Linked DNA regions of Lepisosteus oculatus. The protein of the gene in region 4 binds, or shares a complex with, the protein of the main gene of each other region. Links are inferred from orthologs where the notes say so. Each region holds a gene or a part of one and is shown on either strand. Other genes may lie near its edges.

What was found.
Region 1: usp39 (region 4) and lsm3 share a complex: the UniProt entries of both Homo sapiens proteins name them as parts of the U4/U6-U5 tri-snRNP complex. The link is inferred for Lepisosteus oculatus from reciprocal best matches to the Homo sapiens genes USP39 and LSM3.
Region 2: usp39 (region 4) and sart1 share a complex: the UniProt entries of both Homo sapiens proteins name them as parts of the U4/U6-U5 tri-snRNP complex. The link is inferred for Lepisosteus oculatus from reciprocal best matches to the Homo sapiens genes USP39 and SART1.
Region 3: usp39 (region 4) and lsm7 share a complex: the UniProt entries of both Homo sapiens proteins name them as parts of the U4/U6-U5 tri-snRNP complex. The link is inferred for Lepisosteus oculatus from reciprocal best matches to the Homo sapiens genes USP39 and LSM7.

Annotation. Positions count from the first base shown.
Region 1 is NC_090699.1:59,414,153-59,422,042, forward strand, and holds the start of lsm3 (U6 snRNA-associated Sm-like protein LSm3), read right to left. Parts: upstream 3,003-7,890; 5' UTR 2,946-3,002; coding exon 2,925-2,945; intron 2,457-2,924; coding exon 2,346-2,456; intron 1,968-2,345; coding exon 1,872-1,967; intron 1-1,871. Other genes in the region: gamma-glutamyl hydrolase, read left to right, coding at 5,327-5,429, 6,937-7,051, 7,852-7,890. UniProt on the Homo sapiens protein: Plays a role in pre-mRNA splicing as component of the U4/U6-U5 tri-snRNP complex that is involved in spliceosome assembly, and as component of the precatalytic spliceosome (spliceosome B complex).
Region 2 is NC_090713.1:22,042,477-22,050,188, reverse strand, and holds the start of sart1 (U4/U6.U5 tri-snRNP-associated protein 1), read left to right. Parts: upstream 1-4,712; 5' UTR 4,713-4,938; coding exon 4,939-5,209; intron 5,210-6,427; coding exon 6,428-6,482; intron 6,483-6,662; coding exon 6,663-6,718; intron 6,719-7,682; coding exon 7,683-7,712. Other genes in the region: collagen, type I, alpha 1b-like, read left to right, coding at 57-184, 2,161-2,410, 2,653-2,779. UniProt on the Homo sapiens protein: Plays a role in mRNA splicing as a component of the U4/U6-U5 tri-snRNP, one of the building blocks of the spliceosome. May also bind to DNA.
Region 3 is NC_090724.1:6,313,186-6,320,320, forward strand, and holds lsm7 (U6 snRNA-associated Sm-like protein LSm7), read left to right. Parts: upstream 1-4,117; 5' UTR 4,118-4,270; coding exon 4,271-4,276; intron 4,277-5,018; coding exon 5,019-5,109; intron 5,110-5,300; coding exon 5,301-5,372; intron 5,373-5,914; coding exon 5,915-6,057; 3' UTR 6,058-6,740; downstream 6,741-7,135. Other genes in the region: sppl2 (signal peptide peptidase-like 2), read right to left, coding at 335-517, 1,766-1,882, 3,752-3,799. UniProt on the Homo sapiens protein: Plays a role in pre-mRNA splicing as component of the U4/U6-U5 tri-snRNP complex that is involved in spliceosome assembly, and as component of the precatalytic spliceosome (spliceosome B complex).
Region 4 is NC_090697.1:70,093,437-70,101,156, forward strand, and holds the start of usp39 (ubiquitin carboxyl-terminal hydrolase 39), read right to left. Parts: upstream 3,019-7,720; 5' UTR 2,854-3,018; coding exon 2,799-2,853; intron 2,346-2,798; coding exon 2,264-2,345; intron 1,239-2,263; coding exon 1,144-1,238; intron 682-1,143; coding exon 545-681; intron 1-544. Other genes in the region: c2h2orf68 (UPF0561 protein C2orf68 homolog), read left to right, coding at 3,543-3,673, 4,340-4,455, 4,774-4,919, 6,001-6,123.

The DNA.
Region 1 (7,890 bases), on a different chromosome or scaffold from region 4:
ACTCTGGACAAATGTAGCAAAGCAAGAATACGCTTAGATAGTTTGGAATAAGCTCCTCAGAGTACATTTTCTTAATGATACATTATTAAGGCAGACTACACAGTAGCATAACATTGTCTCAATGAAAGTACAAAATGCTCAAGATATTTATTGAGAGGAAAGGAAATAAAAAGCATGAAGCAAAGGTTTCCAAACAGCTTTCAGTAGCTAAAACGTTGATGTCTATGCTTAGCATTTTAGATTTTTTCATATTCTCAGCTATTTTTCCTTAATGTATAATTTTGTTCACATGAATTTCCAGTTACGACAGAAGCAATTTTATTAGATTGCATGCAATCTAATTCAGTAAACAATTACCAGTAAACATTAAATATCAATCCAAAATGGATTAATCGGCTCAATAGTCCTAAAACTCCAGTTCTTTTGTAATGTCAGGTTGTCTGTTGGTGTTATGCATATTTTGTATGTGAAGTCAAGGTGCTTTCCAATGACATTACAAGTTCTTATCTTCAAATAAATGAGAACATTAATAGTAGCAAAACCTCAAATTAAAATCACTTCTGCTGGTACCCAATACATTAAGCAGAACCAGAAGAACTACATGAACCAGAAGGACCACAGGGATTAACAAAATACTGTTTTCCTTGGACCTGGAAACAACAACAGTTGATTTGCTGGTTGCATTATCTAATTTGGTTATTAACTAACTGACACCCAAGGAATTGTAATTTGGCATAAAGTGCATAATGACCACATTTTTAATGTTACTTACGTAACATGAAAATGCCTGAATTATTTTTTCTGAATGAACCAATTGTTGCATAATGACATTTTCTTTTCACACAACTTGCAATATTTTTATTTTATAGTTTTTATCAATTGAACCTAACAGGACTGCAGAAATTTGAATCCGATTATAATTTCAGGGCAGATATGCAAAATGTATGCTTGCTATTTTCTCTACACACCCTGCACCTCAAACAAGTCATCAACACACATTAAACGTGTTTAGACTCTAAGACAAACATTTACTTGAGAAAGAGACATGAGCAGGCACTCGACAGAAGCAGACAGTAGATGGTGCCTCTGTTTTTTGAGGAAAAGGAAGACACTTTATATTTGAGAAGATACTTAAACACAAAATCAGCAGATCAAAGTTTCTGCTAGAATAATGGGGATATTATATATATAATGGGTTCATCTGGGGATATTATCACCCGGTAAAAAAACTATCTTACATTGTTTCTTTTATGTGTTGAAAAATAGTGGTTAGTAAAATCTTTAACGTTCTTAACGGTCTCATACCTTCCAACTGGTATTATTGATTCTTTCAAACTAATTGGGAATCACTTATTCATTTTTTGGTACTGAATGCACATTCTCACAAGGAAAGTTGAATGTTAAGGTGCAATCTGACAAATCTAAACAGAGAACTGTACACGTATGATGTAGCCTACACCAATCCGAATAACTAAACCACTAATTACACGTTTTCACTCTAATGTGTAGTGGGACATGTGGCACAAAAAATGTCAAGAAAACATATTTTGTAGACTATACCAATATTCAGTGAGATGGTCCAATCATTTAAAAAAAAGGTAAGAAGCAGTAATTAAAGAAAAAGGCAGCACAGGCAAACCAGAGTAGTCAGAGAGAAATAAAAAAAGAAGAGATTGATAAGGGAAACTTCTTTAAGCTTCACCATTTCTAACTGGGATGTCAGAAAACGCAAGAAGATGTTTCTCCAACTGTGAGGATTACATTCCTGTCACTTGGGTTCGGTACAGTCAGAGCGAAAACTGAAGATTTGATTTTGTGGCAAAAAGGGGGAAGATATTAATAGTTTATTTAAAGAATTAAAAAAAACTCACTTTGTAAATTTCTTCATAAGTTTCTTCGTCAATTTCTACCGTGGTTACTGTTTCTTCAACATCTCCCAGTATCATGTTTAAATGCTGATCATATGCCTGAAAGAAATCAATATAGAACATTTTCAATTCTATTTTAAATATGACATAACCTTAGTACTGAGTTCTTCAGAACAATTCCTAAGTCTTCTACATAGAGTTACCTTTGATTCTGCTAAGTGGTAAAAACACTAACTAATCTTAATTACAAAACATGAAAAGCTGCTGATTCTAGTAATCAAACAACTTAATAATTTATCTGTCTAAAGCAATGGTCAATTCTAAAGCATGGAATCAAATGTACTATCACAATGGAATTAAAGTCTTAGAAAACAAATCATTCACGTAATTGTCAATATAGCCACTAACATCTTTTAGATTGCACTATAACCGCTATTCCCCGTTTACTGGCCTTAAAACGGAGATGGTGTTACTCACGTGTAGCCTTCCTCTTAGCTCTCTGTCATTGCGCATTTTCACATAGATACGCTCATCAAGACTAAGCCTGATGAGATCCAAAGGCTCCTCAACAGTGTTGGCAGTCTGTTGCTGAAACAGGAAAACAAAAACTCGGTACAGTGCACTGTCCAGATAAACCTAAGGTTTAAATTGTGTAAACTGGAGCCTCTAACTAAAGCCATACAAATTACATTAGTATCTGTTTTTTTAATTTTAAAAGGATTCAGTAATCTAATATGACGTCTGTGTTGATTTACAAGAACATTGTATTTAGTCACTTCTGCATATAAAGATACAGAAAGCCAAAAGCTATATAATATGCATCCCATATCACCACTTATTATTTCAGAAAAAAACACCTAGCTAATTCAATTCATTTTTACCGCTCCTGCAATGTTTTGGCTATTATCCAGATTACCGACTCTCATCACCACATAGACGTGAATTCTGGTTTTGCGGAAAGCCAAAATCACATTACAAAACACTCTCTGATCACAAGCAAGACATATAAACAGGAATTTCAAAAATATATAGTAAAGTAAAAAAAAAAATCCCAACCTGGTCCACCTCATCCGCCATCTTTCAAATTTCCCAGAATTCCTTGTGAGCGTGCGTTTTATCGCGAGAACCTCTTATTGACATGTGTAGAGACACGATCAGTTGTTTTAATAAGTGTAGTGAAAGAGGCGAGTAAGATCGGGGCTAACGAAGCTGAAATAAAGACGAAAAAGCACTTAAACATTTTTGTTCCGTTTTTTAAATGATGCCAAAGACCAAGATGGTGGTGTTGTATTTCACCAGTTGGGATTATAATTGTTACGTTTTCCAGATGCTGATACAGTTCAAGGGATGTTTTCTTTTTGTATTTAAGGATTATATGGCATTGTTTGTAAGAATGTACACGTGGGGTGGTCTCCGTTTACTAAAAATGTAATTCAGTGTTACTAAATGTTACCTTCCTAAGATTTTCTCTCTGTTTAATAAATGGTGAAATATTCTCTTCTTTTCCCACCTTTACTGCAGTGCAATGATAGGTTTGCTAACACAGACTGGTCCCTTGTAACTAACATTGAACAAAAAGCAAGGAATAACTAACTTCACACAGGTACTCAAAGATAAGATAAATATTTTAGAAAAAAGTTTCAAACAGATACTAAATCTCTTTTTTTTTACTGGGAATTTACTGTATATCTAGTGTTTCACAGTTTTATTTTACAACAAAATATTCCCCTTTCAGCAGTAATTTCATCTTTATTAATTACCAGTATAACATAACTCTAGGTGTGCGATGCATTATTAACACACTTTTTAAATATTGTAATTTTGATTATTTCAAAGTATAAACTGTACATTGCCAGTCTTTTGAAAAGAATCTTATAAGAACTTCTCATTCAACACCTGGTAAAAACAGAAGCATTGCCAAGTTCATATTGTACATATTGTACATTATCAACTGGTAGTCTGCTGAATTTAAATACAAGGTAAATTAGCTCCGTTGACAGTGATCAGTACAAGCTGTAAATTTTGCTTCAGGGATTTATGAAAAAAACACAACCACTGAGATGTTTAGTGAAAAGCAGCTTGCACTATTTTGTGATTTAAACATATTTTTTAACTGGGAAGCACAATGTGGACCTTTAAAATTTTACAGGGGTGTCATGCATGTGTTAAAAAATAAACTCTTCTGAATTTACTACTGACCAAACAGACTTACATTTATTACTTGGAGAGTTGTAGAACTGTGGCATTTCTAATTGTCAGTTAAAGGTTGTGACTATATGGCCCATAAATATCCAGTGTTACTGTTTGTAGGAGTAGTGATGTCCACGCCAATGACCTTGCTAAATATGCTTTGGGCTTGCACAATCTAGTTTACCTATATTTCCCCCTTATTTCAGTCAGATATGTAGTGGAGTTGTTGGTGTGTTACTGCTATTACACATGACCAAGGTAAGGCAGTCTGATAGGACCACAGAAGAGCCATGGAGTGTCTATGTAAAGTATGTACTAAGCATCAAAATAAACTTTATTTTCTGAAAATAAACTATATGGACTTTAACTATGATGTGTCTGTTCAATAAAATGTCAGTACGCATGCTACAAAAAAGTAATTTCCCTCTGTCCATTTGTTACAGTTATAATTGGTTTCTTTTGGCAGTCAATATACATAATAGACATAGTTGCCTTTATGATATACACATAAACACAATTTATCTACAACACCATGATATATAATTGCATGACATTATCAAGGAATGAAACGGCATAGTAGCCTATATACAATAAATATTCTCATATGACTGTCACTCCAATCAGATACAACTATGGTAGGCCAGGTTCAGTACTACACTGTACCAAAAGATAATGAGTTTGCAGAATCCAGAAGGAAGTGGAAAGTCGAAGGCAGATATTGTATAAAATCATCTAGGGAAGGCCATCATCTAGCAATGAAAGAAGTGGTCTCATCTGTGGACTTCCAGCAATGTTGGCCTAAGGGACAAATAAACTTAGATAGAAGGTGGCATTTGTTTGATATAACAAAGAAGGAAAATAAACCCAAATACTGTATGCAACTCATTCACAAATAACAATTTCAGTCTATACCACTTATGTTCCTTGTATGAAGGCTGGCAAGATTAGTCCACACAAGACTGCCGACTCCTCCCGTCAGACAACTTTTTAGTGAAACGAAAAAGAAAAAAAATGACAATGAAGACAACACATCAGGTTGCCTCTTAACGGGTTAATACAGTAATGGGACATAACGGGTTAAGTTTTACTTTGAAATAGCAGATGACAGCGTGCTGAGCATTTTGCAGCAGCTATAGACGGTAGCGCAGTGAGGTCGTTCGGTTTTGTCGTTCAATATCATACGCATATACTGTATATCAGGCCTAATTTAATTAGGGGCTTCAGTTGTTTATTTGTTTTTTTTAAAGACTCTCAGTTCAGAAATTATCATGTGCTCTTCGGCTATTGTTCTTTCGGTGATGGTCGGTGTCATCTGTTATCTCCCGATTCCAGCGTTTTCTAGCCTTTCTCCAAATTACAGACCCATCATTGGTAAGGTGACATCACTCAGGCTACTATTTTGCTAAACGTTTTTTTTTTGAGTGTTTTAAAAATTCTCAAAGGTTATTTTTGTAAGGGAGCCAACGATTGTCCACACCTTTTATTCATTTAAATGCGCAGGTGTATACAGTAATTGGAGCTCATCTATAATTGTAGAAAATGTATGTATTTTACCGCCAGTGTAATTTCAAGTCGTTATGTAATACCATGCGTGAAGTATTTGTCTGATAAAAGGTTGGGATGTTAAGATTTTATATTTTACACTTGCATGTATTTTTGTCTTATCATAGAATTTCGGATTTATATATCAGATACGCGTGGGAAGATTTGTTCTGGTATTTGGAAACATTTTTAATTATTGTGACATGTTGAAAATGGCACGTTATTTTCGGCAAACTGAAGAAGGGATTCTTAGTGAAACGTTCAAATAAAAAATAGCTGTTAGAATTAAACGAAAAAGTGTTAAATCCCAGGGTAGACTCTACGACGTTGTTTTGAACATTATATCAGAGAAATATGCATTTTCCAACATAAAGAAGTTTCTTTATTTTCGATCACCAGAGACATTCCTGTGCTCAGGGAGATTTCAATAGGTCCAAAGTGACTGAGCTAATAAACAATTTAATTGAAGCTGAGATTTTTACATTGTAGAGAAGTTTGTCTTATTCTGCTTTATTGGATAGAAGTTGCTTGAATTACCACGTTACCTACTGTACCTTACGCTGGAGAATCCAATATCAGAACTTTCAAGAATATGCAATAGTCATAAACCATGTTCCCTTCTACTTGTTTATAATTATAGTTTTGATTATATGATTTTCTCATATATTTTTAGAACTGCTGAGTGCCTCTCTTATTTGGTATAAATTAATAATAGGATGAATACAGGTTCTTGGAGGGTTTCTGGATTCCTAGACAAAGGTGCTTGGAAAGGGTTCAGCTGTCAGCAGAATTCAGGAGTGCAATTGAAAATTCAGTTACCTGAACTGAGATGGACTGCCTACAGATAGCAAATTTTGAAACCTTTTAGATGAGTTAGAAATGGACATCAACACTATGATACATAGTAAGAACTGAAATTATGGAGCTTTCTTTACAGAAGCTTCCACATATAAGTATTAATATGAATATACTAACAGCTTCCTACTCAAACCTGTACTTTACATTTTATGTACAGTATATATAGTCTACATTCATGGCATTGTGAGGTACAGTACTGTTCAATCACCAATTCATGATAAAAATACATAGCTACATGTATTACAGAAACATATTACCGTACTTAATATTTATTCCCGATGACGTTGCAATGCTAAAGGCTTTTCATGTAATGTTTATGACATATTGTTCTGTCCTGGGGAGAAGTAGAGCTACATGATCAAAATTCTAGTGACAACACAGGCATCCGAGCCTTTCAGACAATCTGGCAACACGGATACTTCTTACTCCTTCAATTGTTTTGAGTCAGCTTTTCAGACGTTTTTTTTTTCTTCTACAGGGATCGTAGCCCAAGAAAATCTTCCCAGTGACCCTCACGCACAGGGTTCATCTTACATTGCTGCTTCATATGTGAAATATCTGGAGGCCGCTGGAGCCAGGGTTGTGCCACTCAGGTAAGATCTTTCCACTCAGGAGTGTAGAGCAGACAGGAAAGAAAAAAAAAAGCACCAGTTGCTCTGTTTCCTGGGAAATTGCAGGCGTATTCATGCAACATTAACTGTACTAAATCAACATAACCTTTGTTCGTTCTTGTCTTGTTTTCTGAAACTGTATAGTTAAGTAATTACAGGCTCTGTTAAATACCTGCGTGGTAGTTGTACAGTACATTCTGATTCCATCAGAGTAGTTTAATGACTACAGACAATGTCCGTGTTGGACTGTTTTATTTCAGCGGCCCAAAACAACTTAGTTTGGTGGAGAACCTCTTTTTCTGTCAAGAACAAACTAATTCTGAATGAATAAATGTCTGTGGGTACCATCCATTCTCACAATAGTATAGTGTATATCACAATAAGTGTAAATGCCTAAAATCCACTTTCATAATGCTTTTTGTGCCATTCCAAATTTATGGCTACATAAAGGATAAGGACACAAACTTAGATGTCACCAAATTAAAAGGTTAAAACATGAAATTAAATCATGAGTATTAAAGATTTCCATGATTCCTAACAATTACAATTTGTTCTTGAGAGAAGGAAACAGAGAAGCATTTGAACATTTGAATATTAACATAGGTAAGGTTTTTAAGGCAGAACTGAGCATGACTAGGAAACCATGTTAAAATGTATGCTGAGATTTGATTTGGGACTAAAGATGATGACATTCAGAACAGATGTAAGATGTGCAAAAGTAAGAAAAGACAAAGCTTGTTTAAATCTTGTAATGCTTTTACATTGTCATTGTCATTTCACAGAATAAACCGCACAAAGGAAGAATACACCAAGTTATTCTA
Region 2 (7,712 bases), on a different chromosome or scaffold from region 4:
GCTCTGCTAGGCCTCCCCCCTCCCCCGACTGCCGTGACGTCACCCTCTCCTGTGAGCCGGGGAGGAGCTCCCTCGGACTCGGCAGAGGAAGAGCCGCAGCCAGCTCCCAGCTCGGTGCGCAGCACGCTCGGTGTCCCGCTAACCCAGACCCCGGCCCCCGACGGCCCGCGCGAGCTACCGCTTTGTCAGCGCCACTCGCAGCTTCTCCCCAGAACGGCCCCGTGTTTCACAAAAGCAGCCTCTGCTGCAGGGGAGTGAGAGTGCGGCTCCCGCCGCCCCCGGTGGACAGTCTGCAAACTGCACGGCCCGGCTCCCCGGGGTCAGAGACCCTTCCCCGGGGCACTGCTGGGGCCCTCGTCACCGCAGCAAAAACAAAACCGTCCAGCCTCAACACTCCGCCTGCAAGCTGAGCAAGCAGCACCAGGAACACCACCCCGCTAACTGAATTAGCGCCAGGTAAACGGGCTGAGCCCCGCTCCCAGACTGCAAAGGCATTGTGCTCTTTCTTGCCAGCCTTATCACCTCATTTCAATACACTGTGATCTCCCAGACTGCAGACTGACCCCCGACACCTCGACCCTCGCCTGCCCTGAATTACCCAAACGACCCCTCTGCCAGAGCAACCTGTTGCTTTAAGGGTTAATGATCAATACAAGCCTTCTTGAGCCTTGAAGTGACACCGCCCCACAAAATTAAGGTCAGAGCAGAATACAACAATTGACAATTTACAGGATTTACGCAACAAATAACACAAGGAGATACGGCAGGGCTAGGAGCCCCGTCATTTATATCCTCTGACGGCAAAGCACCAGGTAAGACGTGGCTGCACCTCATCAGTTTCAAGAGGCCTGGCTGTTTAGCAGCGGTCTTTGGGTAACTGCTGGTGGCCGTCTAGCAGTCTTACGGGCCGAGGGAAAAGGCCGTTTTGAAATCCGTCGGTCTCGGTACGTAAACCAGGCCCCGCAGACCGAAACGACACCGCACGTACGAACCCCAACCAACACGCACAGACGGCAAATAAACTCTCAACTAGTTGGGACTGCGCACAAGGATTTCAGTCAGTGTCTGTGCAGCTCACCTGGGGCCGAGCCCCACCCCCACCCGGCAAGACACCCTGCTCTCTCCTGCTGGCCGTTATCGCCCCATTCAAACAACGTCAATGCGCTGGGCTGAGCCCTGCTCCCAGACTCCAAAGGCATTGTGCTCTTTCCTGCCGGCTTTATCACCTTATTTCAATACAGTGTGATCAATTCAATTCAAGGTGCTTTATTAGCATGACCGATGGGTACAATCAGCGTTGCCTTAGCAAATAAAAGTAATGATATTTACATTAAACAAAACAAAAAATTAAAGTAAAATAAAATCTACAGATTCCCAGACTGCAGACTGACCCTCAACACCTCTCATTCTCCTGCCCTGAATTACCCAAACGACCCTTCTGCCAGAGCAACCTGCTGCTTTAAAGGTTAATGATCAATACAAGCCTTCTTGAGCTTGAAGTGAGTGTGTATTAGATTAGTGTGTATGCTCCTTTTGTTGCACCCATGAGAGGAGGAAGCAGGAGCTGGGCAATTGAGCACTGTTTTGTCTCAGTTTGCTTTACTGGACTGTGCTGTTGGGGCCATGGCTGGGAAGGATTCTGCAGGATGAACCGAGTCCGTTTCATAGAGAGATTTCTTGAAAACATTGGTGATGAGTAACCTGTTGCTTCAAGGTTTAATGATCAATAGAAGCCGCCCTGAGTCCTGAAATAACGCCGCCCCACAAAAAGAGCCCCATCAGACCGACTCCAGTGGAACTGGGAACTGGCCCCCTGCCCATGGCGCTGGAGGAGCTGCAATTAAACCAGGCCCGGCAGGGCCCCCCCTCGTCTACTGCACCGCGCACGGCCAGAGACAACGCCTCAAACACACGAACCCCAACCAAAACACGGACAAACGGCAAATAAACTCTCCCCCTCTCTACCAGTTCGGACTGCGCACAAGAATAACAATACCAAACAGAAACCGAGCTAAAAGAGGTCGAAAAAAGAAAACGGTGCAAACTAACGCAACGCCCAACTAAACTGGGTTTTAGTCCCGAGTTAAAACCCGTAAAATTCGGATTCCTACGGATTCCTTCTCTTTTCAGCAGAAAATAAACTTTCCTGTACCTTTGCAGCCTCGCCTGCTGACGCAGCTCCCTGCCTGCACCTCTCGGACGGGACGCGCCGGGTCCAGGGGAGGCCGGGGTCAAGGTCGGGCCCGGGGGCCGTGGGCTCAGGAGCAGCCGAGCCGGGGCCCGCTCCCTCGGCGGCCCGGCCGCAGCAGAACCCGGCCGGGCCGCTGAGCCTCCAGCCCTCCGCCCGGGGAGCTCGGCTTCACCGCGGGTCCAGACTCAAACCAGGCCCGCTGGCGCGGCGGGAGGCCTGGTCACCGAACGCCGCTTGGCGTCTCTCAATTAAATCGTTTTTTTTAAAACTATCGTCCCGCCCGTGGGAGCTGGTTTGTTTATTTGAAGAAACGCGTTTCTTTACCTGTTTTTCGTCCGTCCGTCGAGTCGGCCTCGTCTTCCTCTCCGTCAATATTTTACAATAATTTTAATTACAATTCGCGCTTCCAATTAACTCGACGCCACAGACGATCTCGCTCCACTGCTCTCGCGCACGCCTAGCCCTTCCCACCCTCAGCGCTTCCACGCGAGGCCCGCCCCCCACCGCCAGCCAATAGAGAGCGTCCGTCGGCTCGTCCAGCCAATGGGCAGGGAGCGGGAGGAGGGCTCAGTACCTCTCGGCCTGTGATTGGCCGGTAACAAGCACACCTGCAGGTGTCTCCTGAGCATCTCGAGCCTATCACCTGGATTTATCACGCACTGATATTCAGGACCGCGCCCGGTTTTTACACACGAAAAATAAAAAAAAAAACATGCCTGAAATGTCAACGTGCGCTTTTGACTCCCGAACGAATTTCTTATTTCCGTCCATAACAATTTTGGTCCCCGGAAATGTGGAGGTTCTAGCCTGCAATTCTAAAAAAAACCGTTAGAAATGAGAAAAATAACGTACCCGAAGAGAAAGAAATGTCAGTATCCCCCCTAGTAGCACAGCTGGGTCACGGGGGTGGAAAAACGCCAAACCCGAACCTCTTCCGGCCGCCGAGGAAAAAGAAAATCACGCGTCACCAGTGAAATTTCGTCAGAAGAGCTATCGCCTGCACATATAAACACGATGCTTCAATACATATCTGTCTTCATGGAGACTTGTCAACGCCTGCCCCACCGGTGTTATCCAAGTAGATTTTAAAAGCAGTACTGCGAAAGTATTGCAAAAAAGGTTATTCAAATGATTGAAATGGAGGTCGTTAAAATTCACATGCCCCTCAATTTATAGAGACCTTATTTATAGCATGTTCTGGGAAACAGTACACACAGGAAACACAGGACGACATAGTCATTTTGTGCTGTCATTTTATTTTTTCACGTAAAAGCACCACAAGCCAGCTGCCACAATGTGCCAGCTGACCTCAGGTCAGTAACTGGTAGCCATTGAGATAAGGGCTTCTGTTGCTTCATAATACCAATAAGATCGTTGCTGACAAATTACAATAAACTCACTATTTAATGAAATGATTTTTCTAAAAATATGTTGTTCAATTTGCACTTTATTGTGTTTGTGTTTCCGGCATCAAATATAGTGTAGTAGCTAGTCGGTGATCCTGAATTTTATACTGGTACTCAGCTGAATCCAGATTTCACTTCTAACATTTGAATATAGAATTGTCATATGAACTGTCTTCTTTATGGAACAAAGGTTGGGAACGTGAATTAAATTCCTCATTTCAGTTTTAAATATAAACACAGATTTATTTTAAATATGAGTTGTGCCGCTTATAAATTATGAAGTATAGCATGACACCTCTATGTAGTAAAATATGCAGCGCTTTAAAAACTAGAATTTAAGCACCTTTTACCCTTTTTACTTCTGTTTTACCTGTTAACAGGTAATATGTTTGAGCTAAAAGATAACACTCTTTTCCCTCGGGTATCATTTCGAATACTATTTACAACTCTTGTCTATAAGAATTTTATGTCCTGTGGTTAGAAAATTATGGATTGATCTGCAAAGTGATATAAAGAAAGGCTTCTGATATTGACGTTACCTTGAAAGAAATAGATAGTCACGTTCATTTTTAATCTCATTGAAAATAAAATGAAAATATCCTTTGGCAGTGACTGAATCATTGTATTTGCACGTTATTATGGATGCAGGTGGATGCTGCACATTGGTGGAGGTTGAGGGGTCCAGAAAAGCGCTATATAAGTGTAAGCAATTATTATTAATTATTATTATTATTATTATGCACAGAAAATGAAATGGTCTGGGAAGAGACCCGCGGTTGAGCAGTGTGAAATAAACCGTATCCACAGATTATTTCTGATTATTTATGTGAGAACACGAAAGCAGGGCGGGCTTCATCTTGATTCACCTTGGTTAATCCTTTTTTGTAAAGTGCAGTTGTCTTACTGCATGTACCCCTGGCGATGTTATTGGTGTACTCTTGTCTGTATTATATGCGTTGTTGTTGTTGCAAGAACAAAAACAGTTTGTTGTAAACTGCTGCGCTCTTGCGGTGCTGTAGCGGAATCCGGCAGGGGGCGCTCGCACATTTAAGCCGCCCGTCTTGTCTCCTTGACCCGGAAATATATTCGTGTGTGGGTGCGCGTGGGGGGGAAGGGGAGGGGTGAAAGGTTATTACTGCGTTCGAGCGTCGAGACGGTTGTTGCGTTGCTGTCGGTGTTTTCGATCGTGGAAAAGACATTTTTGGGGGTTGTTAAAAAAAAGAGAACTCTCTAGCGCCAGGGATTGTCTACGCCGTTGGCGAGTGGGCTTTGTTTCGATAGTTTACTCGCCTGTGGCTTTTTCCCTGTTTGTATTTTTACCCTCCTGCGCTCGCTGACGGGATGCGCTCCTCCAAGAAACACAAGGAGAAGGACCGGGACCGGGACACGGAGGACCGGCACCGCGAGCACAGGAAGCACAAGCACAAGGAGAAGGACAAGGACCGGGAGCGGGAGCGGGATGGCGCCAAGGACCGGGAGAAGAGGAAGCGCTCCCGGTCCCGGGAGCGGGAGCGGGGCCGGGGCTCCGAGAGGGAGGGCCGGGGCAAGGCCGACAAGAGCGGCGCCGAGCCGCGGGTGAAGAAGGAGAAGACGGACGCCGGGTACGAGGAAGGTGCGTCGGTTAACGACTTCGGACGAGAAAAAAGCTGCAGCTCTCTCCCTTTTTTTTTAAAAAAAAAAGTTCCTTCTCAAAGTAATAGCTGTGCGTGTATGTGTAATAATAATAAACGTACGTAGCGCCTTTAGAAGTGGGTTCTCAAAGCGCTTCACAGAATAACAGCGACAGGATGTAAATATGCAGGGGGACAGGAAGAGGTTTATTCCGAGACGCGGAGAAAAGAGACGCAGGGTTTCGGCCGTGGAGCCTTTTTCAGGCGCGTCAAGTCCCTACAACCCAATACCTTGCGTCTCTTTTCTTGTCCTCCCAGCAGGGAATAACCCCTTTACCTGTTCCTCTGCAGCACCGCGCTTGCAGACGCAGCTCGATCCTCGAAGGTGCGGTGAAAACCGCAGTAATGGTCACGGTTGGTAGCGGTTCGGACCCGTCGCTGTGCTCCGTGAGAGTCTGGTTTTGTAACACTCCAGAAAACGCGAGAAAGCGGCTCATCTCCCCTCCCTGGCCACGGCTTCATCAGCACAAGAGCCTCACTCAGCTGGTGAAACCTGGAGTGGATCAGACTGCTGTGCAATGGGAATCACGAACACTGTGTGTTGTAATGCTGTGCCAGCCAGCCAGCAATCCAGTCAGTTAGCAGTGGCAGCCCCACTGGAGCCCAGCAGGGTGAGCCTGGCCAGTACCTGGAGGGGAGACTCCTGGGAGAGCTGAGGCTGCTGCTGGAAGAGGTGTTAGTGGGGCCAGCAGGGGTTGCTCACCCTGCGGTCTGTGTGGGTCCTAATGCCCCAGTATAGTGATAAGGACACTGCACTGTAAAATAGTCGCCGTCCTCCGGATGAGATGTAAAACCGAGGTCCTGACTCTCTGTGGTCATTAAAAATCCCAGGGTGTCTCTCGAGAAGAGTAGGGGTGTTACCCCAGTGTCCTGGCCAAATTCCCCCCTGGCCTGTACCCATCATGGCCTCCTAATAATCCCCCTCTCTTTACTGGCTCCATCACTCTGCTCTCCTCCCCACTGAGAGCTGGGGTGTGGGGAGCGGACTGGTGCATCACCCAGGTGGGGGTGGAGGGGATCCCCATGACCTGTCCTGGAGCCTCCACTCAGAGCTCTGTAAAGAGCTATCGAATAGTAAGGACTGTTATTTATTGTTGTTGTTCTTGCTCATCTGTGTCATTTCTGGCGATGTTAACGCGCTCTGAACTGTCTCCGTGCAGCGGCTGGTCCAAAGTCTGCCTCCGGGGATGCCTCTCTCAGCATCGAGGAAACAAAGTAAGTGAGCAAGGGCGGTTTAACAGTGATGGGGAGGGGGGGGTGATGTTATCCGGGGAAATGGATCGGATCACAGGGTTTGCCAGCAGGAGTACCTCTGTACACACTTCCATCGTGACAGTCTGTAATTGTGTCAGGAAAACCATTCACTCCAGTCTGGTTGTTCTTTTCCCCCTCTAGTAAGCTGAGGGCCAAGTTGGGTCTGAAGCCTCTGGAGCTGAATGAGAATAAGAAGGGTAAGTGTTGTGTGTGGGCTTGGGGCTACATTTAGTCCTGTAGGTCACCCTGAATCACGGGTCTCCAGTCCCAGTCCTGGGGATCCCCAATCCAGCGTGTCTTACAGGTCACCCTGAATCAGGGGTCTCTGGCTCTGGTCCTGGGGAGCCCCAATCCAGCGTGTCTTACAGGTCACCCTGAATCAGGGGTCTCCAGCCCTGGTCCTGGGGAGCCCCAATCCAGCGTGTCTTACAGGTCACCCTGAATCAGGGGTCTCCAGCCCTGGTCCTGGGGAGCCCCAGTCCAGCGTGTCTTACAGGTCACCCTGAATCAGGGGTCTCCAGCCCTGGTCCTGGGGAGCCCCAGTCCAGCGTGTCTTACAGGTCACCCTGAATCAGGGGTCTCCAGTCCCAGTCCTGGGGAGCCCCAGTCCAGTGTGTCTTACAGGTCACCCTGAATCAGGGGTCTCCAGTCCCAGTCCTGGAGTCTTATAGGCTAGTTTGGAAGAAACTGTCCCACTGTGCTGTGCTGGCAGCTGACGCTCCTGGGTCTTGCCAACCTGCAGTTTGAGGCAGTTAATTGTCTTCTGGGGAAAATTGCCCCTTGTGTGTCTGTGTGTGCCTTCTGCGGTGTATCCCGCCCTGTGCCCACTGCTTGCTGGGATAGACTCTGGCTCCCCGTTAGGAAATGGGTGGGTGAACAGCAGATGACGCCAAGAGCATCTCTGCTGGGATTCGAACCCACAGCCATTTAGAAATCCAGAACCATAGCGCAGGAGCTGACCTGGGTCCCCGGATCCCAGGTGTTTCCTGAAGGATCCCGGAGCCTCCATCCAGTGGCATAGCTGGGCAGTTTCACGCCCCGCACTGCTCCGACGCCCGAAACGCCTCCCATTGGCCCTTTCCTAAACGCACAAGTGTCCAAGTCCACCTGGCTTCTCTGAGAGCCCTCTCTCTCTCCCCCCCCCGATCCTGGTGGGCTCAGAGCTGGGCACGAAGGAGGAGCCTCTGGTCG
Region 3 (7,135 bases), on a different chromosome or scaffold from region 4:
GGGTCCCCTCATATATGAAAAATGCTTTTAGACTTGAGGTGCTATATAAATGCAAATGAATTATTTACCAGCTAATAAGAGTGTGCTTTGATTTCCTTCCAAAGTCCAAAAGAACTACTAGTAGATCCTCAGAAAATTAGCCCTGGTGTGAGTGTGTGTGTCTGTTTGTGCCCTGTGATGGACTGGAATCTTGTCTGGGGTGTATCCTGCTTTGTGCCAACTGTTTGTCAGGATAGGCTCCAGCTCCCCTGTGACCCTGTATTGGACAAAGCGGTTGGAAAACGGGTGGATGGACAGGAAGAGAGGGATAATCAGTGCCCAGCTGGCCACTCACCAGCCTGTCTTTGCTGACGATGAGCAGCCCCTTGGCCCCGTTGATCTGAGCCAGCCTGACCTTCTCATAGAAAGTGCAGTTCCCCCTAAGCACCATGGGAATGCGGTTGGGGAACCCACCTGCGGGCACCTCTGACGGGGAGCACAGCACAGAAGCAGTCAGGTCATGGATCTGGAGCCGGGACTGAAGAGTTTGAGAGCGACAGAAGAAAGTGGGAAAGAAGACTCCTTTATATTTGCCCAGAAGACCAACTTCAAGAGACACACAACAGCAAGGATTTTTTTCTTTTGAAAATGCTTGTCTTACGCTCACACATGAGGTGATCCTTTACGGAGCTCAGTAAAGTCTTGCACTCAGCTGGATGGGTGTGGCCCCACTGAAAAAACACTTTTTGTTCTCTTAGCATTCTGCCCTGGAAGCTGGAATTGTAGCACTTGTTTAAACAGGGCAAAACAAACAGTTCAGAGACACCTGGGCCCAGCAGTGCTATTAAACTAGAGTTCCTGTTTTTTTAGGCTGTAGACACAGTCCCTGCACTGGGGCAGGGCAGTGTGAGCCGCCGAGACAGGTAGCGTCCACAGACATGCTCTCACGCTCACACGACAGATGGGATCCTCATGTTACTGGGAGAGCAGTCTCTACCCCAAAGCCTTCAGGGATACTGCTGCTGCACAGTCTGGTACCTTTTCACCAGGCAAAAGCAGCCCCTGACAGGGTCTGAACCTGAGACACGGCTCTTGTGCCATTTTACCTTTTCATTAAAATTAATAATTCCCAAAAAAAAGGATTTGGCTGGGACTCGTTAGCATCACTGCAGTCTGGCCGGGGCTAGAAATTGCACAGAATCCATGAGAGACAGAACTCCCTTGCTAGCAGGGCTGTGCACCTTTCTCAGGTCAGTCAGCTCGGACTCCATCAGAGCACTGATCGGCATTTCACAAGGGTGAGTTCGAACCACTGCCTGCTTGCACACCCTGCACGCAGTTCAAAGGTGCCTGTGTAATTCCACCCATGTTGCCCAAAGACAAAGAAACTATAAAGCTTCCCAGAGGCGGGGGTCATTTATTTGCAGCAAAGTGTCTGCCTACCTATTAGTTGTAAGACGATATGTGTTTACCAGCATTGAACCACTTGAAACAATCACAGGCATGCAAACGAGCTTAACACTGAAGGAAGTGTGTGCCATTCTGTCCGAGTGGAGCTTGCACATTCCCCGACGTTTGTTGTGGTTTGTTTCCATGCAGAGGCGGTCTGACTGGGCTGATTCAACACGTGTGGCCCTGGGGGTCAACCCCTGGTGCCCGTGAGGAAAACCTCACCTCTGCGCCCCGCCCCTTCGAGGAGCAGCTGCAATACGGTCTGCACGGAGAGCAGGGTCGCGACAGGGGGGCCGCAGGCTGGGCGGCTGCAGAATTCCTGGACTCTACTCACCGCCTTGTTGAGATCCTGAGGTAGGTGTGCCCACTGGGAGTTGAACAGGATGCAGTAGTCCTTCCCTTTACTCTTCCCTCTCTCACTGACGTGCGCCATGCCATACTCCCCCAGCACCTGTGGCAACAACACTCGTAATCAGGTGCGTTTCCCAATGCATATTTGAATACTTCTGGGCCTTTTACTTGACTCTCCCCTCCCTAGGTGCCATGGCAGTAACTGTTCAGAAGGCACCAAGAGAACTAAGCACAGCAGCCCCGTTTTAGGAAGGTAGAGTGATGCAGTGGTTATTATTGCTGGGGTTCAATGCCAGATCTCGGGTGCCGTCTGTGTGGAGTTTGCATGCTCTTCCCACGTTTGCGTGGGTTTCCTCCAGGTGCTCCAGTTTCTTCTTACAGTCCACTGACATGGTGGGTTAACTGTCTTCTGGGAAATCTGGCCCCGTTGTGAGTGTGTGTGAGTGTGTGTGTGTGTCTGTCTGCCCTGTCATAGACTAGCATCCTGTGCAGGGTGTATCCTGCCTGGTGCCTGTTGCTTGCTGGGATAGGTTCCAGCTCCCCAGCGTCCCTGTACTGGATAAAGCAGTTAGAAAATTGATGGGTCTCAGTCATCCTGGGGCTGTGGGTGACTGCGGGGATCCCTACTGAAACAGTGTGGATAGATGCCTTTTCCCATTACCTACATGGAAAAGAGTATTCATGTTAAGCAACAACAAAACACTCACACTACTGCTCACAGTTATTACCCCGTATGACAAGTGAGTGGACGCCATTCGGTTCATCTGAATTTGGTTGTTAATGGCTAACTTATTCAAAGACCCTCTCCCAGGTGTTGCTAATTCAGGGTACCTCTTCAGCAACAAGGGTGCCAGCTTGCCTCCCCACAAGCCTTTGTGTAAAGAGGAGTCCCCCTGGTCACAGTTTTAAATGCACTGTCCTGTAGTTTCTCTTTGTATCCTCTTCTGAAGAAGGACGTTACTTTGACTCTGTCAGTGATTTTGAGGATTTTGTCTATTTTTTTTTGGTCTGTCCCACAGCTCTTCGGTAATGAGGATTACTGTTCTGGGTACTGTATCCTATTGAATCAGTGTTCTGGGCGATACTCTGGCGATGTTTAGTCTCAGACGACCAACTCATGTACTTAAAAAAAATAATTCGCCCAGCAATAAAGTCTCTAATACCAACGTCTCATGGGATAGCTGAAAAACTAAATAGTCCATCGTTTTAAATTTCCAGGTTTCGGCGCTTTGAATGAATTCACAGGTCAGTGCGCCTCCCATCGCGATTTCTTTATAAACATTAAAATGGTCACTTTTCTTGGTTCCTTTTCTAGGACAACGCTAATAGCATGTTCGCTACATATTGATGTTAATTTTGTTTTTTTTAACAGCCATTTTCAGTTCGGTTAACCACAAGGTTACAATCAAAATGCGGACGGTTTCTTTCTAACAAGGAAAAAAAAGGAGCCGGTAACCACTGGAATTGAACTGCAGACTGCATATTGGCCGCTGTTTTGTGAATTAAACGTTCTTGTAGGGGGTTTTAACATGTTTACCCTCGTCTTCATCTGGATCTAACGCGCAGTAAAGAAAAATCTTCTTTTTTTCCCCCGGAACAGTGCTCAGCTCAGGTCCAGCTGATCCACATCTATCAACAGCAGCAGAGGTAACTGTTGTAGATGTTAGTTTATAGGAGAAGGAACCCAAAAACGTATTACATCGAGGAATTCTAGGTTCTGTACAAAGGAAGTATATACATTGAGGAGCTGAATGTAAAAATAATAATTATAAGAAGTGAAGCATCGCTTTTTTACACTCGCTTATCCATCAGAAGACTCATTACATGGGCCCATTAATTATAATAGCTACCAACCAGAATATCGCCCCCTTAGGTCGGATTTCAGCTATTTACTTAAAATCGTTAACGCTCGAAAGCCCTGCTTAATGCAATATGTACTACAGCGAATAGGAGATATTCAGTATCTCACCTGTTTTACCAATATAGCTCCGAAAATCAGAGCACTCAGGTCCCTCATGATGTCTGGCTGTTATTATGGTTTATCCCCGTCATAAGCCCAGTCCACCATCAGCTGTTTTGGAAGCTCCCGCCCTCGCCATACCGCAGCGCGACTTCATTGGGTCATTTCTGTTATGCTTACTCTCGGTCCGCAACACTATTGGTCAATAGTTCCATCAATCAAAAAGAAGCTCCCGCATAAAAAACGTAATTTGCTACTATCCCTGTCAATCAAACGTACCACTTCCTCGGGACGAGTCCACAATTTACCGCAAGGACTCTATGGTAGTGAATTCCATGCCTTGTTTCAAAAACTGAAGCTTATTTAGTTAAAGGGATATTTCTTACGTTACTATTTTAGTGTTTACGTGTACAGGTGTACGTTTGTTAGGAAACATTATGTAAAGAATAGTTCCTGAAACATGGAGTTTCCCCCAATCAAAGAGGTCAAAGTTTAAAGGTCGAAGGGAGGAGCTCACCCAATTGAAAGATGGCGGTGAGTATCGGTGAATGGTTTTCGTGTATGATTTGTGTAATATATGGTTATTTGTTCGGTATAGTCTCTAATTTCCACTGAAACTGTAAATTATTAAATCTAGTTTTTGTTTGTCTCTTTTAATGGTGAGGGGTATAGAAAGTTAGGCATTTTAAACATTAGAATTCCATTGTGTAAAAGAACCATTTTAATTTTACCGGCTTCGTTTGACTGGTACTAACAAAATGTTTCTTTTCAAACGTTTTTTTAATGTAAAGTTATTGTAGACAACAGAAAAAACGATTTTATTCCTAGCTTTCCGAGTCTTAAGCCCTTGGATGTCCGACTGTTTAGCAAAGTTAACTGAAACGCTGGCGAGCTAGATCCCTGCGCCTGTACATATTTTTCTGGAGGTATACAGAGCATGTTTTCACCTGCAGGAAAACCTGTGTTTGGCGTTGCATGAGTTGAATTCGTTTATTAGTCAGAGAGCAGTAACCAGGCCTCCAAAATAATGATTTTATTTAGAGAAAAATTGTCCATATCGTAAATAAAGCACGGTGAATGTCTTGATTAGCCGTTATTACTTCGTGGGCCGCTGTTCCGGGAATAACGAAGAACGATACAGTTAAAAAGACTTGTACTGTTCCGTTTAAAATACACGATGAGCAGTGGTTGGTCCGAAATGTGTGTATTGTCTCCCCAAAGTAGCCCTGAACTGTCCCTTTTTAACCCCACCTGTTAAAAACGTTAATGGTTTCAGGATAAAGAGAAGAAGAAGAAGGAGAGCATATTTGATTTGTCAAAGTACATCGACAAGACCATCCGTGTGAAGTTCCAGGGTGGACGAGAAGGTATGTTATAGGAAACTGTGTGTTTGTGTGGGCCTTTCTTCTTCATGCAAGAGTTCCTCCCAAACTCTGCAGTGCTCTTCTAGGTAGTGAATGAGCAGGTGGACCTGCTGGTCGTCTCCTCTCGGCTCTCCTTTGTCGAGTGGATCGACTGCAGAACGACTCACGGAGCCTTTTGCTTTTCTCTCTGGCAGCCAGTGGCATCCTGAAAGGGTTCGATCCGCTCTTGAACCTGGTATTGGACGGCACTATAGAGTACATGAGAGGTAGGTGCCAGTGCCTGAAGGCATAGTTCTTAAATTAAGGTCCAAAACCCCCTGCAGCTCTTAGCTTTGGTCTTTACCAGTCACAGCCTCCTAATAAGCCCCATCTCTGAACTGGCTTCATCACTCTGTTCTCCTCCCCACTGAGAGCTGGTGTGTGGGGAGCGGACTGGCGCACTCTGGCTGCCATTGCATTATCCAGGTGGGGCTGCACACTGGGGGTGGTGGAGGGGATCCCGATTACCTGTAAAGTGCTTTGATTGGAGTGTCCAGAAAATCGCTATATAAGTGTAAGGGATTATTATTTTTGTTATTTTGTTATTTGTTGTTGTTATTCAAGTTTTGAGGCATATGGGTTTTGTACAGACCTACAGGCTGGCAGTCTCAGAGGCAGCAGAATGCTGTGCTATAAATCCCTACAGAGGGAGTTCCATCTGGTCAACTGCCTGGGTACGATGGCTTATGCCCAGGCAGACACTGTGCATGACTTGTGCTGGCGAGGCTCAGTCTGCCCTTACCCCTCCTTTGTTCCGTGTCGTCTGCAGACCCCGATGATCAGTACAAGCTGACGGAGGACACCAGGCAGCTGGGATTGGTGGTGTGCCGGGGAACATCTGTGGTCCTCATTTGCCCCCAAGACGGCATGGAGGCCATTCCCAATCCTTTCATCCAGCAGCAGGACGGCTAGAGGGGTACCCTGCTCCCCTTTCCTCTCCAATACCTGTGCACAAACCTTTCTGTACCCCCAAAGCGACATCATTGTTGTGGCCTCAGGAGAAGTAGTTAAAGCTTGCAAGTTTCCATGCAGTCTCTTAAACACCCTGCAGGTGGTGGTTACCCCCGGTCTTTTCCTGATCTCGTCTATCTCCCTCTGATAAAATGTCATCTCTCTGTACCAGGGATTCCCAATCCTAGTGCTGGTGTGTCCAGTGTCTTCTGACATTTCATCAATTTGGGCTTGCTGCTTCTTAATGGATCCCTTATCTAGGCTAGTTATTAGATGGATTATAGAGCATTTGTGCATAATTATGACACTGGAGATCTAATGCTAATTACATTTTCTTAACTTCTAATTGGAACATCTTGGCAACTTAAAATTAGCAAATGTAGTCCATTTAAGGGTTTAAGTAGAAAACCGGAGAAGAAACTATTGGAGACGGGTCACCAAGATTGAGATTTGGAAGCCCAGGTCTGAGCTTCTCTGAAACCTTGTGTTAAGGCTTTGTGCACTAGAAGACACGGTGAAGAGGGGAATGTGTGATCAGATGACAGAATCATGCTTTTCTGTGACTGCTGAATAATGTTTCAAATGTTGCTCTTCGGTGACTCCTATGGCAATCTTCAGTTTTCCTTTTTTTAATTTACAAATGAAATTGGAGCCTGCATGGCGATGGATGGAGATGGGGAAAGGAGGGTGTCGCAGATAAATGTAAATAAACCAACTAGTTTACATGCTTATTTTTATTTGGTTCATAAGTGCAGAGAGAAACGCCACTCTTCTGAATGCACTTACTTTTGTTTTTGTTATTTTCAGTGTGGTGAACAGTTATTCGGAGAGATTTCACTTGTGTTGTCTGTACTTGGGATATGTTGACAACAGCCTGTGGGGTTAATTGATTTTCTGATTTGAAAACTTTAAGATGTACATTGTACAGACTTTAAAAACACATTCTCTTTTTTTAATCGATACACCGGAGTGTGCTTGGTTTGATGTTTTTTAGCCGTTTAAGTTTATTTTAATGCTCTAAGATGAAACAGGGCTGTTC
Region 4 (7,720 bases):
AGAGAAATCCAGATTCTTTTTCATGTTAATACATTTTCTGCTCTGAAGAGGAGATTATGTTAATTGCTAGTCAGCCATCATTAATCATATAGTTTTTATTCTAGACATCTGTAGACATTTTACAAGTTTAGAAGCTTAACAACTACTCTTCACTGCTGGCCAGGCAAACAGGAATGAATAAAGAAGGCAGCAAGGATACATCCTGCCTACATCTGCCTTCCTGCACATTCCTAAACATGATCAACATTGTCACCAATTGAGCATATTGTCACATGTATCCATTTTCTAACCACTTCATCCAATACAGGGTCGAAGGGGAGCCTATCCCAGCAAGCAAAGAGCACAAGGGGGGGATACACCCTGGACAGGACACCATTCCATTGCAGGTTACAAAATTACACAATAATCACGTATACAGTAAAAAAATACTATTTGATTTTTTTTGACTGATCTACCACCACATTATATTCTCAAAAGTGAAGACAACTTATAATCGAACAGTAAATCCAAAGTAAAAGAGGGGCTGCGAGTTCCCACTCCTCACCGTGATATCCTCCAGGGACGAGTCGATGATCTCATAGTTGTCCGGCAGGCAGTAGAACTTGAGGGTGTGCAGGTTGAGGAAGACATGATGGGTGAACTGCACGCTGTGGGTGTAGGCATGGGACTTCAGTCCACGACCTGCACAGCGCAGCCAAAGCACAGGATTATCGTCCAGCAAGAACACTTCACACGCACAGAGGTGTCCACCATATGCTCAGGGGTAAGTTCGCTAAGTCACTGCAAAGCTTGAATACTTCCTAAAATCAAGGCGGACCACTCTCTCTTACCAGTGAAACCGGGAATGATTCGGTCAGATCTAACTGTTGCTTAAACGTATAGTAAAATCTCCACCCAAACGGGCAAAAATCACCTAGACGTGAGTCAGAAGGATTGGTTCTAAGAGGTCATTTATGGCACTGACTTGAAAATGGTGTTATTATACTGTATCCTTCCATTTTCAGTAAGTACTTCACCCTGAGGAAGATTGCAGTGAACCAGAGCCCAACCAGGCAGACACAGGAGGCAAAGCCTGGCATATCCTGTGAGGATCACAAGTCCACAGAGGAGATGTGAAAGGCACACAAGATCCTCTGCACTCACCTTGGAAATATTTCCCACAAATGAGGCAGGCGTAGACGTTAATGTGAGAGAGGGAAATGGAGCACAGCTTTTCAAAATCGAAGTCCAACACACTCCTAGGAGGACAAAATAAAGAAAGAGTATGTTGTCATTCTCCACCAAGCTTTACAACAGCATTTCTGCCACATTCTTTATCTTTCTCTTAGGAAGCACTGTGCCTGCTCCTTTCCTTTGCTTGCCTCCCGCGGCATCTTCCAAAAGACAATAAAAAGCCCCAACATTAAAATGTGGAATGACAAATGTGTCCTTAATATCTGCTTCTATCTGGAACAAACTGCAGAGGCTATGGGGTTGAATGCTCAACAACTCAAATAGCAGAGTAGCTCACATCAGAAAGCTGGACATACGTCTAATCAGAAGTGACCCAGACGAACATGGTAAGACCCGTACCTCTCAATTTTATTTGCACTTCCCTGTAATTTCCACTTGTATCCTCTGTTTTATGTTAGACTTTAAGATCACTTTATTAGCCATATACAATTTCTTGCATTAGGAATTTGTCTCTTGATTCTTCAGAACGGCTCTGAGGATTTTAAACACTTGAAGCAGATTCCTCGTAGTCTTCCCCGTTCAAGACTAGAAAAAGTTCAGTTCTTTTAACAAACAGTGTAAGATACCCATTTTATGTACTTCTCTGGACTGATTTCAGATCAGCAATAGCTTTTCTGTATTGTGGTGTATTCAGCTCTAATGATCATCACTATGATCCAATGTGTAAAGAAACCCTACATTTATCTGGTTGGAGTTTTATCCAAAGGTACATGTCTCTGCAGCCATTTACCCAGCTGGGTATTTTACTAGAGAAACTCGGGTGAAGTGTATTGCTCAACTGCAGTGCCCCATCTGGAATTTTAACCTTTTCTGCATTTACGAGTTCTGAACTATACCCATTTACAGATTCGCACAGTCTGAACGGTCTTCAGTGGAGAAAAAAGTTGCTCAAACCATTCAGCGACCTCCCAAGGTTTAGGAAAAGTGAGTCTCGACAAAAATTGCAGACCATTTCCTCCATACATGCCTCTGAAAACAAATTAATAACACAAACCAATGAATAGTTCGGTCAGCATTTCTCTTAACTCACCTGTTGATAGTGTCCAAATACGGGCAATGTCGACTCCTGTGATCTTCAGCAACATCCTGTGAGCGTCCGGCTTTGGCTGGGACTGGTTGAAACACAGTGAAAACAGTGTTGTCAGCTACACTCATGTTTACCGGTATTAAAATATAGTACCAACAAGCAGAATAAAGTCGTCTGATTGTGGTCCAAATTTCTCATACATAAGCAAATTGCTCAAAAGCAACACAAAACAGACACGGTCTAGAAAAGTGTTATCAGTTGACAATGAATTCAAAACGTCGGTTTCTCTGCAAACAGACTGCACCATGGCTTTAGCCCTCAGCGAAACGTCGGGAAAGTGGGATTTTGTAAAACTTTACAACATCGTTCACCTCATTTCCACAGCCGATTTTCCAGCCTACGCTTCCGAGTACTTTATTTGATAGAAACTGCAAAGTATGAAAAGCTCTTCTGTTTTAGATACAGAAGTGCATATGAAAAATCTACAGTCGTTCAACAGCTTTCCGTATACCTCTTGTAGTTTATTCAATATGCTTACCATCATCCTCCCCATCTTCCAGCTCCGGATTCCTCTCCCGCTTCAATGACACCATGTTCCTTCACAAAACTACACTGATGAATGAATAACTGTGATAACGTTTTTGAAAATAATAATGTATTGATAAAACTCCCGGTTGTTTGAAACCATTCAATGACCACTCTCTCGCACACCACGACTCAACATGAAGGCCAACTAAAGCCTAACCCAGAGTTCCGCGCTGAACTCTGGGGTGCTCGTAAACATTGTGAAACATTGATTCATTTCGAAGTGAAAAGCTCCAGTTCTGTCAACATTGTCTTTATTTCACCTCTGGCATCTGTTAACTATTATTTAAAAAGCTGAATTTTGTACTATACGTATCGCGGGATTATTTAACTACAAGAGGGAAAGAGGAAAATAACGCAACCGAAAAATAATCTGGTACAACATGCTGAAATACCTTACACGTCCAAAGGCGATAAAACTCTAAACATATGTACGGGTATAAAGTACAGAAATGATCAATGTGAAACAGAGTGATTTCATGATTTAATTAAGAGTTCAAATTTTAGAAGGGAGAAGGCTCTAACAATTGCGCAACTCCGGATAATATTTGTGTTGGTCAACAGGCTAGTGGCCCTGGTCTTTTCATTCAGTTTTATGAGAACGTCTAGTGATGTACGAGTGCCAGGACTCCAGCTAAAGTTGGCGTAATTTTTTTATCGGTTGCTATTTTTTACACTGTTTGCTAGTACAAATAAAATGGAGGTGCTGCGAGAAGAAGAAGCATCGGTGGGCTCGGGGTTCGACCCGCATACCAAATGCAAGCCTGGAGGCCGTTTAGACATGAACCACGGTTTTTTACACCACATTCGCAGGAACCAGATAGCCAGGTTTGACGAACATAGTTTAAAAGCCACATACGTACTGTAGAAGGGATCGAAATTTTGTTGGCCTTTTAGTTAAACTGATAACATGTGTATCATTAAGCATAATAATTATTCCTTAAGAGGTTACGCCTTCTGCTAAAGCCGTTTTGCACATGCGCATCTCGCTCCGCTAAATTGTTTCTCCCTGAGTAAGACGAAAAAAATCGATAAACTGCTCTTAATTCACTCAAATTATTGAGCAAAAGGGCTTGTTTTGCTTTTTTAAGTCTCTGCGGTCCAGAAAGTAATTTCACTGTAAGTTGTCTGCTAAATAATAAAGTCAAGTACTACTGTAATAATTACCCTCCATGCATTTCTTATATCTACCATTTTCCAAATCACATTTAAGTTATTCTTTAAAAACTCTACAGGAAAAAAAAGGAAATTGTTGGTATAATTGGAATGTGAACCTTGTTGCATGCTATATTTTTGTTGGCATCCAAAAATGAAATGGTACACGAAAGTGAAAAACTATGAACTAACCAGCCCTGTTTATTTCTTTATCTGCAGATGGAGTCTGCTTTCAGAAGTGAAATGAAAAGGTTTCTGTAATAATGGGTTCATTCAGAATGGGTAAAAGCCGGTTGCTGCCCCTGCAAAGGTGACATGGTGTTTCTGTCTCTCCCCCAGAGACGATTATGACAAGGAGGTGAAGCAGGCGAAGGAGAAGCAGAAACGCAGACACAGCAACACGCCCAGCCGCCCGCGACGCCCAGACATCCAGGTGTATCACCCTCGACGCAGGAGTAAGACCTTGCACAAACGTGCTCTCAGACTTCGCTTTTAAGAACAGCAAGAGAGCCCCATCCATCAAGCCCACACTTAAGGGAATGAACTGAAAATCTGAATGGCCTCTTCAAAAATCAAGCACGGACTTTTTGAAATAGATATTCTTTCTTCTAGGTTATGAGCAGAGAAAAAAAACACGTTGTGCCAGTTATTAGCAGGTTCAGAGGGGCTGTAAAGTTAAAGCCAGAAGCATTTCTCCTTGTCCCCCTGCTCTGATCTGAAGTGTTTGGGTGGGGGGCAGCGTCGAGCCGAATCTTCTGTGCTGTTCCCCCCAGGTGCCTCGGAGCAGAATGCGGGGCCGGAGAACGAGGAATCGAACGACAGCAGCTCCAGTACGGAGCCGGAGCACCAGGGCACGGAGCTGTTCTGCCTGGAATACGAAGCTGACAGCGGCCAGATCACTTCCTTCGTCGTCTACAAGGTGAAGCCAAGTCACGGGTCTCATCTCATCAGTATCCCTTATTGTAGGCATGCGGGCTATTGGACAGTCTGCCTGCTGTGACTTCATACAAGCTGGTAACCCAGAAGGGTGTCATTCACAGCTTCTGCTGTACCCACACATAAGCTGAATAATGGGTTGGAGCTGGGAGTTCAGTATTAAGGAGGTTTTATTAATGATAATAATAATAATAATAATAATAATAATAATTGCTTACACTTATATAGCGCTTTTCTGGACACTCCACTCAAAGCGCTTTACAGGTAATGGGGACTCCCCTCCACCACCACCAATGTGCAGCATCCACCTGGATGATGTGACGGCAGCCATAGTGCGCCAGAACGCTCACCACGCATCAGCTATTAGTGGGGAGGAGAGCAGAGTAATGAAGCCAATTTTATAGATGGGGATTTTATAATGATGATGAGGGATGTGAAGCAGGTCCAGCAGTTCTTCAGTGCCAAACATTAAATTTGGGCGGTGCAGTGGCTCTGTGGCTCAGGATCTGCGCCTGTGGCTGGAAGGTTGCCAGTTCGTATCCCGCAGCCGGCAGAGGAATCCTACTCTGTTGGGCCCCTGAGCAAGGCCCTTTACCCCAACTGCTCCAGGGGCGCCGTATAAATGGCTGACCCTGCGCTATAACCCCAAGCTTCTCTCCCTGTCTGTGTGTCTCATGGAGAGCAAGTTGGGGTATACGACAAGACAAATTCCTAAAGCAAGAAATTGTATCTGGCCAATAAAGTGATCTTATCTTATCTATTAAATGTTTCCTTTGGGACTTTTTCACCTCCTAGGTTGGCTTGATTGATGCAAATGCACACTTTTTGTTTTTTAGAAGCCATCAGAGATTTCCCTTGCTAGGCTAACAGCACCCTTAGAACAGTCATGTGACTTTCAAGTCGTTCAAGCAGGTCAGCACGCATAGGCTGCAAAGGAACAAGTATTCCCTGCTGAAAAGAAACACGACGTTTCGGCTGCGGAGCCCTCTTCGGGTGTCGGCTGTGACTTTGGATCTCTGTTGGCCGGGTGGGTGACGGACGTGCCCGTGTGTCTGCTCCTGCAGGAGGACGAGCCCGACAGGGTGGTGGAGAAGGTGGCGGCCGCGAACGCGCTGGATGCGGCCATGCGGGCGGCGCTGAGGGCACGCGTGCAGGAGGAGATGGACAAGCGCCGGGACAAGCGCTGAGCCGGGCCAGCGGCGGGGGGAGGGCCGGGGCCTGGAATATCCACTGCAGCATCTAAGGGAAGGAGAAGGGGAGGGAGGGGGGAGTTTGGGGGGAGGCACCATCCCTACCTGAGCCAGTTCACAGCACCCCCGAGCCTCCGTCTTCAGCATGTCAGGCATGCAAATGGAACCCTTCCCCAGACTATACCTGTCAAAAAAGGATGGCGGCTCACAGATCCTGTGAGTAAACTGTTGACTGTCCTCCGATCAGAACAGTTACATTCTAGGAATTCGAGTTCTAGGAAACGGAGATCTCTTAATGGTGAGAGTGCAATAAAAATAAAGCATCTCAGAACTTCAACAAGAGATCTGGAACAGGAGGATGATCGGGTTTAGCTGCCTTTGTGCCAAGACCCACTTCCCTTAAAAAATATCAATACTGGCAGACAGGATGTGTGGAATGCTGGTACAGCGATAGTTCCTCAGTATTGTATCTCGGGACATAGAGTTCTTTTGCTATAACTTGCTGTGCTGCTAAACTGTCATCATAAGGTGACTAATCCATTACACCTAACAGTTTCTCCAATTGCAGCAGGTTTGCCGTCAATGGATAAGCCTGACCACAAACTCATTGTTGTTTCATGCATTCCTTGTGTCATTATTGCGTTATTTTGTTTTGGTCAATTCAGTATCTTTATTTTATTCGGCCTGGAATTCTAGATTAAAATGGACAATAAAAAGTAACAAGTGAGAAAATAAATTTGTTAGGGTGTGATGTGAATGAAGCACACAGGAACAACAAACGGAAAGAAACAGCACATCATCCAGATAAGCTACTAATGTTCAGAGCTTTGTTGTTCTAAAGGAGAAGAATGTAATTCTGTTAAAATGTGAGTACATACAGATATGGGATACTGCTGCTTATCTTGAGTGCGATGGTGGAGATCTTTCAGCCAACGTGAAGAGAAACATTTAGGAAGTCATTTAATTTAATGGGACTTTTTTTATGTGCTTCTCATTGGCAGTTCTTCCTTTTGAGCTCTTTCAAATTAACCCCCCAGTGATAAAAAGGATCCTAGAAAGTCACTGTCTTTGTTGACAGTTCCTTTTTATTCTCTGTTGAAAAATACATGCCTTTTATGCCATGTGATGGTCCATAACAGCATGATGTAACGTACATTTCCTTCGCCATCTAGAGAAGGAACTCTGCAATGGTTTCTACAAATGCTAAGACGCTTCCGTTGATATGTGTAATTCTGTGTTAGGATGTGTTTAACAGAAACAATTTTGTGCTTTAGGTAGCCGGTATTCTTTGAATATGTTGCCAGTATTTGTAAGCAGCATTATTCAAGGAAAGAACTATTTTCTTATGTTTCATTTTGAAGTTGAAAATCTCTTTATGTCCAGAAGTAGTTTTGCTTTAAAGTTTTATTCAGTTTTATTTAAAGATATTAAAAAAAATATTCAGTCTACCTGAAGCCTCAATTTTGCCAACTGAAAAGCAAGCAGACCATGAATAGTCATACAATATGTTTTTGAAGCCCACATTTATATTCTTTAAAAACTGAGCATTTCTTTATGGGAGCATTGTCAGAAATCTGCAGATAAGTGCCTCAGC